Linked DNA regions of Rattus norvegicus. The protein of the gene in region 2 binds, or shares a complex with, the protein of the main gene of each other region. Links are inferred from orthologs where the notes say so. Each region holds a gene or a part of one and is shown on either strand. Other genes may lie near its edges.

Region 1 (4,478 bases), on a different chromosome or scaffold from region 2:
GTCGGCTCTTCGTACCCAAAGGAATGATCCCAATGCAAGAAGGCAGCCAACCTGAGAACCCCAGGTGACAAAACTCAATCCCGATGACACCATGCGTGTCCTTGGATCCAGGTGTGCATAAAGGCAACTACTTCCGGGCTGTCTAGTCACAGGCCCATGTCATCCTTTTCCCTTTTTTATCTTGTCACTTTGGGTTGGCCTTTCAGCCACTTGCAACCAAATCACTGGCTGATTCACAAATCTGAGAGCAAATGAGACTTCAGCACACGCTCCTCCAATTCCCTTTCCTAACCTTAAACAAAGTTTCAGAGTAGAATATGGCTTGTGGGCTCCTGCTTCCAGAGGCCTGAGGATAAATCCCGAGTCCATAAATGTTTGCATGAGTCAAAGACACAGGGGTCACTTCAGGATCCGGATGCTCATCTTCTGCTCGATGTTCATCTTCTCTAAGGACTGGGGAGAGATGGGTGTGGTCAAGTCAAGAGGCTTGAGTCTCAACCTAGGTGTCTCATTCACCTCCTCCCTTGGAGTCCTTGCATCCCCCAATATGCCCCAGGTCTCTCCCATCCTCCAGTGACTTGTATTTCCCATGCCTTGCTGTCCTAGGGACTCCTGATCTCAACTCCTCCTAACCTTGGCGAACTCCAGGAAGGACACGGCCCCATCCCCATCTTCATCGGCTTCCTGCACTGTGCGGTCTGTGATGCTCTCCAACTGCTCGTCTGTCACCTGGACCCCAACCATGAGGCGGAGAACCTGGGAGGTGAGAGAAGAGGCAGTCATGGAGAAGAGCCACAGAAGCTGCTCCTTTAGCCCCAGCCCTCCAACCTCACCCCATAAGTTACAACCAAATTTTCTCACTCTTCACCATCAGACTCAATTTCCCCTGTAGCCCATAGCAAACGCCTGCCACTGCATCGCTGTCCACTGTCCAGTCTTCCATATGATTCTATCTCACACTCCGACAGTGCTCACCTGCAGCTAAACCTTATAACCCAATCAACGTCCATCCTCCACTCAACAACACCTTCCCCTCCACCCTAACTTTATCATCTGTCCCAGAGTCTTGGCACTACTGACATTTGAACCTAGATAACTCCTTGATGTGGAAGGCTGTCTAGGTGTTTGGGTGTGTACAGAAGTATTGCTGGCCCTTTCCAGATAAACAGCAAGTGTGTGATCTCTTCCCAGTAATGACAACCAAGAATCTTATATACTAGCGAGAAGCCGAATTACGCCTATGTTGGGATTCCGAACTCTGTTCCCAGTCTCATACCTACTTACTCCCCACCCCTTGTCCTTAACTAACCCAACCCCAACCCCATCCAATCCCAGATCTTACCTAACACATAATCAACTGCAACCCCAGTCATCACACACACACACACACACACACACACACACACACACACACACACACACGCCTCCATTTAACCATCTTGCCCTGCCCACATCACATCTGATGTACCCATGGTCTTCTGACCTGTAGCATTTCATTCCTGGAGATCTTCCCATCCCGATCCAGATCATAGAGCTGAAATGCAACTGGGAAAAGAGAGGGGAAGAGGAAGTGAGTTTCCCTGAGCTGATATTAAGTCCTCACCAGGCCCACAGGGGGAGTTAGAGGTTCCCGGGTCTCTCCTGGTATGGATAAATGTGGAGGGCCTCACTTGGGCAGGTCTCACACACTCACAGCGCAGTTTATTCATTCTGCTGTTTAGGGGTTCAGGTTGCTTGGGGTCTCGGAGTGTGGCATCGTCTTCATCTATAGGTCGAAAATAAGCCAGGACTCTGGCAAAGCCTGCGAAATACACTCTCTGACTCCTATAGGGACAAGGATGGAGAAGGGCAATGGTCACCCAGACTGCCACCATCGGTAGCATCGCTTTGCCACCCACACCCATCTCCCCTCTGGTCAGCCAGTGGACACTCACTCACCCATTGGGGAAGAAGCTGTCTATAATGCGGTCACCCAGGGGGTTCACAGCCAGGGCTCCAATCTGCTGGAGGTCTAGGCGGCTGTGAGGACAGCACAATGAAAGCAAAGGAGGCAGATGGCGGTGTCAGTGAGGAGGGTGGGGACAGAAAAAGCAGAAGCAAAAGATCTTAGATCTCTTCTACTCACCTCAGGAAGCCCTTTTCCTCCCTGTCTAGGGCTTGGAACCTGTGGTAGAGACGGAGCAGGCTAGCTTGGGAGACTGCGGAGAGAAGGAGGTGGGGATGAGCCCTCAGAGGACTCGCAAGTCCTTACTGCCAGATCCCGTGTGCCTTGGGTGCGCTGCAGGGGACCCAAGGGGATGTGGGCAGGAAATGAGAATAAGAGGGTTTAGTCCCATCTCTAACCTCCCCCTACACCCTTCAACATAACAGGGAACAGGGTCATCTATCTCCCCATCCTCAGCGCGACTTCAACCATAAGTAAGAGGCAGATGGATGGGGATGAGAGTCGTTACCCTTGCATGACCATGTGTGGAGTCGACTCGGCTGGAGGGAGCTTGACTCAAGGAAATACTAGGTTGGAGAACCCAGGAGGTTCTCAGAGCCCAGGCATCCGTCCTCAGCTCTGCCTTCAGTCTCCATCCGAGCCCAAGGACACCTGAGTGAATCTGGTCCATCAACCCGGACTGCCTCAAACTTGACTCTTAAGTACCTGGGCTCTTGGTTTTCCAGCTCCAGAGGCGCAAATTCCCAGACTCACACTCTAAGCCCTCTAAGTCTCTGGGATCTGGAATACTCAAGCTACATTCTGGTGACCCCCTTCACTACTCTAAAACTCCTCCTGTCCCCGCCCACGTACTACTGAGCTGCGCTCACCACCACCACCACTACCACCACCACCACCCTCACACTCACAGCCCGTCTCTCTGCGAATTTGGTCCACATCAGGAATGAGCGCGACATGAGAGCTCCGTGAGCCCATGGCAAAGCCACAGAAGGAGACGAACAGCCAAAGGAACCAGGCGTCCTCTCCTTCCTCTCCTCCCGTCCAAAGGCGCGGCTGCCCAGTGGCCCCAGAGCCGAAGGTCACCGGCCTGGAGAGCAGCCAGAATCCAGGCGTTTTTTGCCTGCCACCTACAATCCTGGAGAACAGAAAACAATGCCCGGGGTAGCCGGTCAGAGGGGAAGGCTAAGAACAACTGGTCGTTTCAGCCCGGAGATTGAGGTCGCCAGCGGCTGAGCGACGCCAGGGCCCCGCCTTCCTCACGCCTATGCGAGCCAGTTTTCGCTCAATACTCCCTAGATACAAGCCTACCTCCTCCATGGGACCTCCCAGATCTGCTCACCCAGTGCTCTCACTCGGTTTTAAGTCCTGCTGGGCGGGATGAAGATTTTCTTCTAGGGAGCGGAAGAGGGGGCAGGGGGAGTGTTCGGCTCCCTGGGCAGGAGGAATGGTGATGAGAAAGTCCGGGCTCCACTAAGTGGGACAGCAGAGACAGGAATCCCGACTACTCTCTCCTTATGCTACACAAGGGCACGAAGTTTTATCTATGTACGAGTATCGTGTGGTTGAACTAATTCTTAAGATCCACAAAGCCTCGTAAGACCTGCACTGAGGACTCTGGTGCAGGAAATTAGCCATGAGTGGGTGGCTACTCTGAGCTACATGAGTCCTAAGCCAACCTGGGCTTCCTTGTTTGACCTTATCTCAAAACAAACAGAAGTGTAAGATTTATCCCAAATCCAAACTCCTGGATTCTCTCAGAAATCAGAAGTTCTGGGGCTAACTTTGCAGCTGAGTGGAACGGATTGCTTGCCAATACAAACCCAAGGCCGTGGGTCTGACACAGCACAGTGGGTTGAGGAAATTCCTAGACAGTTCTGCTATCTCTAACGAGAGGCTCTTTGCCACGGTGCCCATACAATCCATGTTCACTCTCCCAGTGTGCCCTATGGGCCCGATAGAACAACAGGTGTGTAAACACTTAGGCTTCTGACCAGTACCAGCACCCGCAAGCTGAAGTCTGTGACCTGGCTTAAAATACTAGACAGTCGCCTCACTGGTGGCACATCCACATAGCATTCTGTCAGAAAGTAAGCATCCCAAGAGGGTGGACTGAGACAGAAATAAAGAAGCAAAGGCCAGTCATGAAGAACCTTTGTCTAGATCAAGTAGTCAGTGTAACACCTCAGACCAATACGCTAGAGCTCAACATGGAGAATTTACAAATTTAGGGGCCGTATAAGAACAAACTTGGGCTGGAGAGATGGTTCGGCGGTTAAGAACACTGACTGCTCTTCCAGAGGTCCTGAGTTCAATCCCCAGCAACCACATGGTGACTCACAACCATCTGTAATGAGATCCGACACCCTCTCTGGTGTGTCTGAAGAAAGTGGCAGTGTGCTCACACACATAAAATAAATAATTCTAAAAAGGAACGAACTTAACACAATCTGAACTGTGGACAGGAACTTGGTGACATTCAATAAAGTATTTTTAAAAGAACCAAGGCCAAATTCCAGGTTGACTCTCCCCTAGG
Region 2 (3,804 bases):
TGTATGTGAGTGTGTGTGTTTACAATGTGTATGTGAGTCTGTGTGTGTTTACAGTTTGTGTGAGCGTGTGTGTTTACAGTGTGTGAGTGTGTGTTTACAGTGTGTGAGTGTGTGTGTTTACAGTGTGTGTGTGCATGTGTGTGTTTACAGTGTGTGTGTGCATGTGTGTGTTTACAGTGTGTGTGTGCGTGTATGTGTGTTTACAGTGTGTGTGCGCGTGTGGGTGTGCTTACTGTGTATGTGTGTGTGTGTGCTTACTGTGTGTGTGTGTGTGTGTGCTTACTCTGTGTGTGTGTGTGTGTGTGTGTGTGTGTGTGTGTGTGTGTGTGCCGGTATCTGAACTGTGGTATCTGAAGCAGCACACACTTTTTTACCCACCAAGCCATCATCCCTGCCCCAGTTTAGAGGTTTTAATCTAAGATTGAATGATTCTCTTGCTCGGGTGTGTGGCATATTGTGGGGGCAGCACACAGCGGAACAAAATGCTTAAATCATGAACCAAAGAGCAAAGACAACAAGGAGAGAGAACCTCGTGGGGCCTTTCTTTCTCCCCTTGAGGGACACACTCCCGGTGACCATAAAGCCTCTCCCAGATCCCACCTCATAGATGCTTGGTCATCCTCCTGGTGTTATTAACCCTTTAAAACTTGAGGAATTAAAAATTTTAAGATCCACAGTGTAGCAGGCCATGTAGTCTCCCCTTCAGGGCCGTGCAGATCTCTGGGTAAGATGCTGTGGGCTTGTCTCTATGCTTTAGATGGTTGCCTGACCTCTGAGGGTACCAGGTTGAAAGGTGGTGACTGTGGCTTTTAGGTTGTCAAAGAAGGAGGCACAAGAGGGGAATTCCTGTCCTGCCCTAGACAGACAGGCTAGTCAGGGCAGACTTCCTGGAAGAGGAGGCAGAAGCACACTTGACCAGCCACACAGTTCGGGGCCTATTTGCTCGTTTGGGGCAATTTCGAAGAATCTGAGTATCAGGGACTGGGAAGGAGGGCAGGACAAGGGGTGCACCTGCCAGCTGCACACTGGTGTTACTGGGAGGCTCTGTGACCTAGGCAGCTTTTCCACACAAGGTGACGTGTGGAATCAGGAACATGTACACAGTTGCTTTGAGTTTTCTTCCTACCCTAAGACCCATGTTTTTCCAACGTGTTGTTAGTGTCTCTGGGAACTTGGTGTTGTGTGGGGACTGTCGTGCTATCCTAGCATTGCCTGGGTCAGACTGAACAGGAGGGCTTTGCCATAGGGAGAAATGTCCTTTTCCACAGGTCTAGGGTATAGTGATGGGGAGGTCTGACCAGGCAGGCCCTGAAGATCGCGGGATGTGTCCCATCTCTGTGTATCAAGTCATGAGGCATGCGCTAAGCTCCAAAGGTCGCCTCAGCCTTGGGCATATGCGATCGATTGGATTCACCAGCTCAGAGCTTGCTTGGTAGGGAGGAAGAGAGAGCACCTTGTCTTGAGCAGAGGGCTCACGACCTTTTGACCAAGATGGCTTTGGGGGACCGAGTACCCAACATGCATTTGGTTGCTCAGGTCTTCACCTGCCTTCCTACTCCAAAGGCAAACCCAAGAGCTCATAGGGAATGTGGGGTTCTGACCTAACCCTGCATCCCTGGAAGCCTGGGTCTGGTACCTCAGCATAGGCCCCAACAGAGAAGGGCCAGCGCTACTTGGGGAAGTGGTTGGTGGATGTCATAGTGCCTCGGTGTGGAGGGAGGCAAGGAGAACTAAAATTTCAGAACTGTGGAGTTTGCTGGGAGCTGGGCTTCAGACCTGGGCTCCTCCTGGTTCCGCTACTGATTTGCTCTGACTTTGGGCAAATGCCTTCACCTTTTCAGCCTCAGTTGCCCCATCTGTAGAATGGATAGAATTGGGCTAAAGGCAGAATGGCAAAGAGATTTCATTTTACTTGCCAAAACTAACTGCCAGCCTTTGATTTCTTGGGATCTTCTGGATCTGCCTGCTGCCCGCGAGTCTGGGGCTGGAGGTTCCTGAATGTGCTCTGCAGGTGTGCAGACCCAGGCCTACTGTCCCCACTTTTCTCCTGGCACTGATGCTGTATGAGTCTCCTATCTCTCTGAGGTCCCCACTTTAACACCATCCGTTGTCAACTCCATGGCACGAGGCGTGCCGCCTTTCCTGAGGCAGGATTGTGTCTCTGTGTGGGACGCAAGTCGGCTCCCTGAGCATGTGCCTGAGAAAGTGCCATGGGTTCAGGGTAGCTCGGTGCCGTAGGTACTTTGATTTCTGTCAGAGGCATGCAGAGCTGCTGCTCTGTGACAGTTTTCCACGGTAACAGGCAGCTGGTGAATACTCTGTGAAAACGTCGGGCCCAAGGTGCCTCAGCAGGTGAAGATGCTTGCCACCAAGCCTGAGGACTTGAGTTCAGTCCCCAGGACCTGGTTGAAGGAAAGAACCAACTCCTACAAGTTGTCCTCTGACATCCACCCATGTGTCATGGTGCATGTATACATGTGCAAACGCATGCACACACGCACACTATAAATTTTTAAAATAATTATTTTATACCACAGCCCTGTGAAGCTGGTATTATCCCTTCCGTTTTACAGGCAAGGAACCCGAGGCCCAGAGAGTTAACAGAGCGGCCTTCTGAGACCAAGCCTGTGCACCTCTCGCCAGCTGCTCTCCTGGTCCCCAGTCCTGTCCCCAACCTTCTGTTCTTCTGGCTCCCCTGAAAAGCCCACGGCCTCCCGTTCTCTCGCCCCTCACAGGTTTCCATGTGATCCCCACCATCTCGAGCATCGTCCCGGAGAGCTGCCTGCTGATCGTAGTGGGGCTGCTGGTGGGGGGCCTGATCAAGGGCGTTGGAGAGACGCCCCCCTTCCTGCAGTCGGACGTCTTCTTCCTCTTCCTGCTGCCACCCATCATCCTGGACGCAGGCTACTTCCTGCCTCTGAGGCAGTTCACGGAGAACCTGGGCACCATCCTGATCTTTGCTGTGGTGGGCACGCTGTGGAATGCTTTCTTCCTGGGTGGCCTCCTGTACGCCGTGTGCCTGGTGGGCGGCGAGCAGATCAATAACATCGGCCTGCTGGACACCCTGCTGTTCGGTAGCATCATCTCCGCGGTGGACCCGGTGGCCGTGCTGGCCGTCTTCGAGGAGATCCACATCAATGAGCTGCTGCACATCCTGGTCTTTGGGGAGTCCCTGCTCAACGATGCCGTCACTGTGGTGAGGGGTCAGGGGCCACAGCACACGCACACGGGGGCAAGCGGTGCCTTATCCTTCCACTAATGATGATAAAGACGGCCAGTGTCCCCCATGCTTGCTGTGTGTTGGGCACTGCTCTGAGCACCGGGACATAGATTTTCTCTCCTAATCTTCAGGACAACCCAAGGAGAGACGAACTTTCTCACCTTACAGAACTAGAAACACCCCACAGAAGTTAGACAGCTTCCTAGAATGTGGTGGGGCCAAGATTGGAGGCAGTGTGCTTGGTTCATTCTGTGGCCCTCCAGGGCCTGAGCCACTGGCCTAGTAGGTCACTTGCTTCCTGACCAGCTTGCATTTGATACTGTGTTGCCCAGTTACTGGCCTTCTTCCCGCCTCAGTTCATAGCCCATTTAGTCTCTGAGGAGCCTTTTAGCTCTTATGTTGGCTGTTTAAGAATTTGGTCTGTGCAGGGTTCTGAGCAAAGGAAATGAAAGGGCTCTGTTCCCCAGACCTCTAGGATGTGGTGAGTGTGAGATTAGTAGGACTGGGTTGACTGCTTGGTTTTCTTGTTTGGTCAGTTTTTTTGAGACAGGGTTTCTCCATGTAACCCTGACTGTCCTAGAACT

Evidence for each region.
Region 1: the proteins of Slc9a1 (region 2) and Chp2 are in contact, whole or in part, in a crystal structure (PDB 2BEC), measured with the Homo sapiens proteins. The link is inferred for Rattus norvegicus from reciprocal best matches to the Homo sapiens genes SLC9A1 and CHP2. Residues at the interface, in NP_003038.2 of Homo sapiens: Ser517, Ile518, Asn519, Glu520, Ile522, His523, Thr524, Gln525, Phe526, Leu527, Asp528, His529, Leu530, Leu531, Thr532, Gly533, Ile534, Glu535, Asp536, Ile537, Cys538, Gly539, His540; in NP_071380.1 of Homo sapiens: Arg30, Arg34, Leu38, Leu51, Ile54, Ala56, Leu57, Asn60, Pro61, Leu62, Ile66, Phe70, Phe83, Leu87, Phe90, Tyr118, Ala119, Leu122, Tyr123, Met136, Val139, Leu140, Met143, Ile156, Arg159, Thr160, Glu163, Ala164, Phe177, Ser180.

What each region holds. Positions count from the first base shown.
Region 1 is NC_086019.1:186,198,689-186,203,166, reverse strand, and holds the start of Chp2 (calcineurin B homologous protein 2), read right to left. Parts: upstream 2,921-4,478; coding exon 2,854-2,920; intron 2,199-2,853; coding exon 2,126-2,198; intron 2,020-2,125; coding exon 1,939-2,019; intron 1,825-1,938; coding exon 1,694-1,824; intron 1,546-1,693; coding exon 1,484-1,545; intron 757-1,483; coding exon 634-756; intron 454-633; coding exon 400-453; 3' UTR 1-399. UniProt on the Homo sapiens protein: Functions as an integral cofactor in cell pH regulation by controlling plasma membrane-type Na(+)/H(+) exchange activity.
Region 2 is NC_086023.1:150,898,251-150,902,054, forward strand, and holds part of Slc9a1 (sodium/hydrogen exchanger 1), read left to right. Parts: intron 1-2,735; coding exon 2,736-3,196; intron 3,197-3,804. UniProt on the Homo sapiens protein: Electroneutral Na(+) /H(+) antiporter that extrudes Na(+) in exchange for external protons driven by the inward sodium ion chemical gradient, protecting cells from acidification that occurs from metabolism.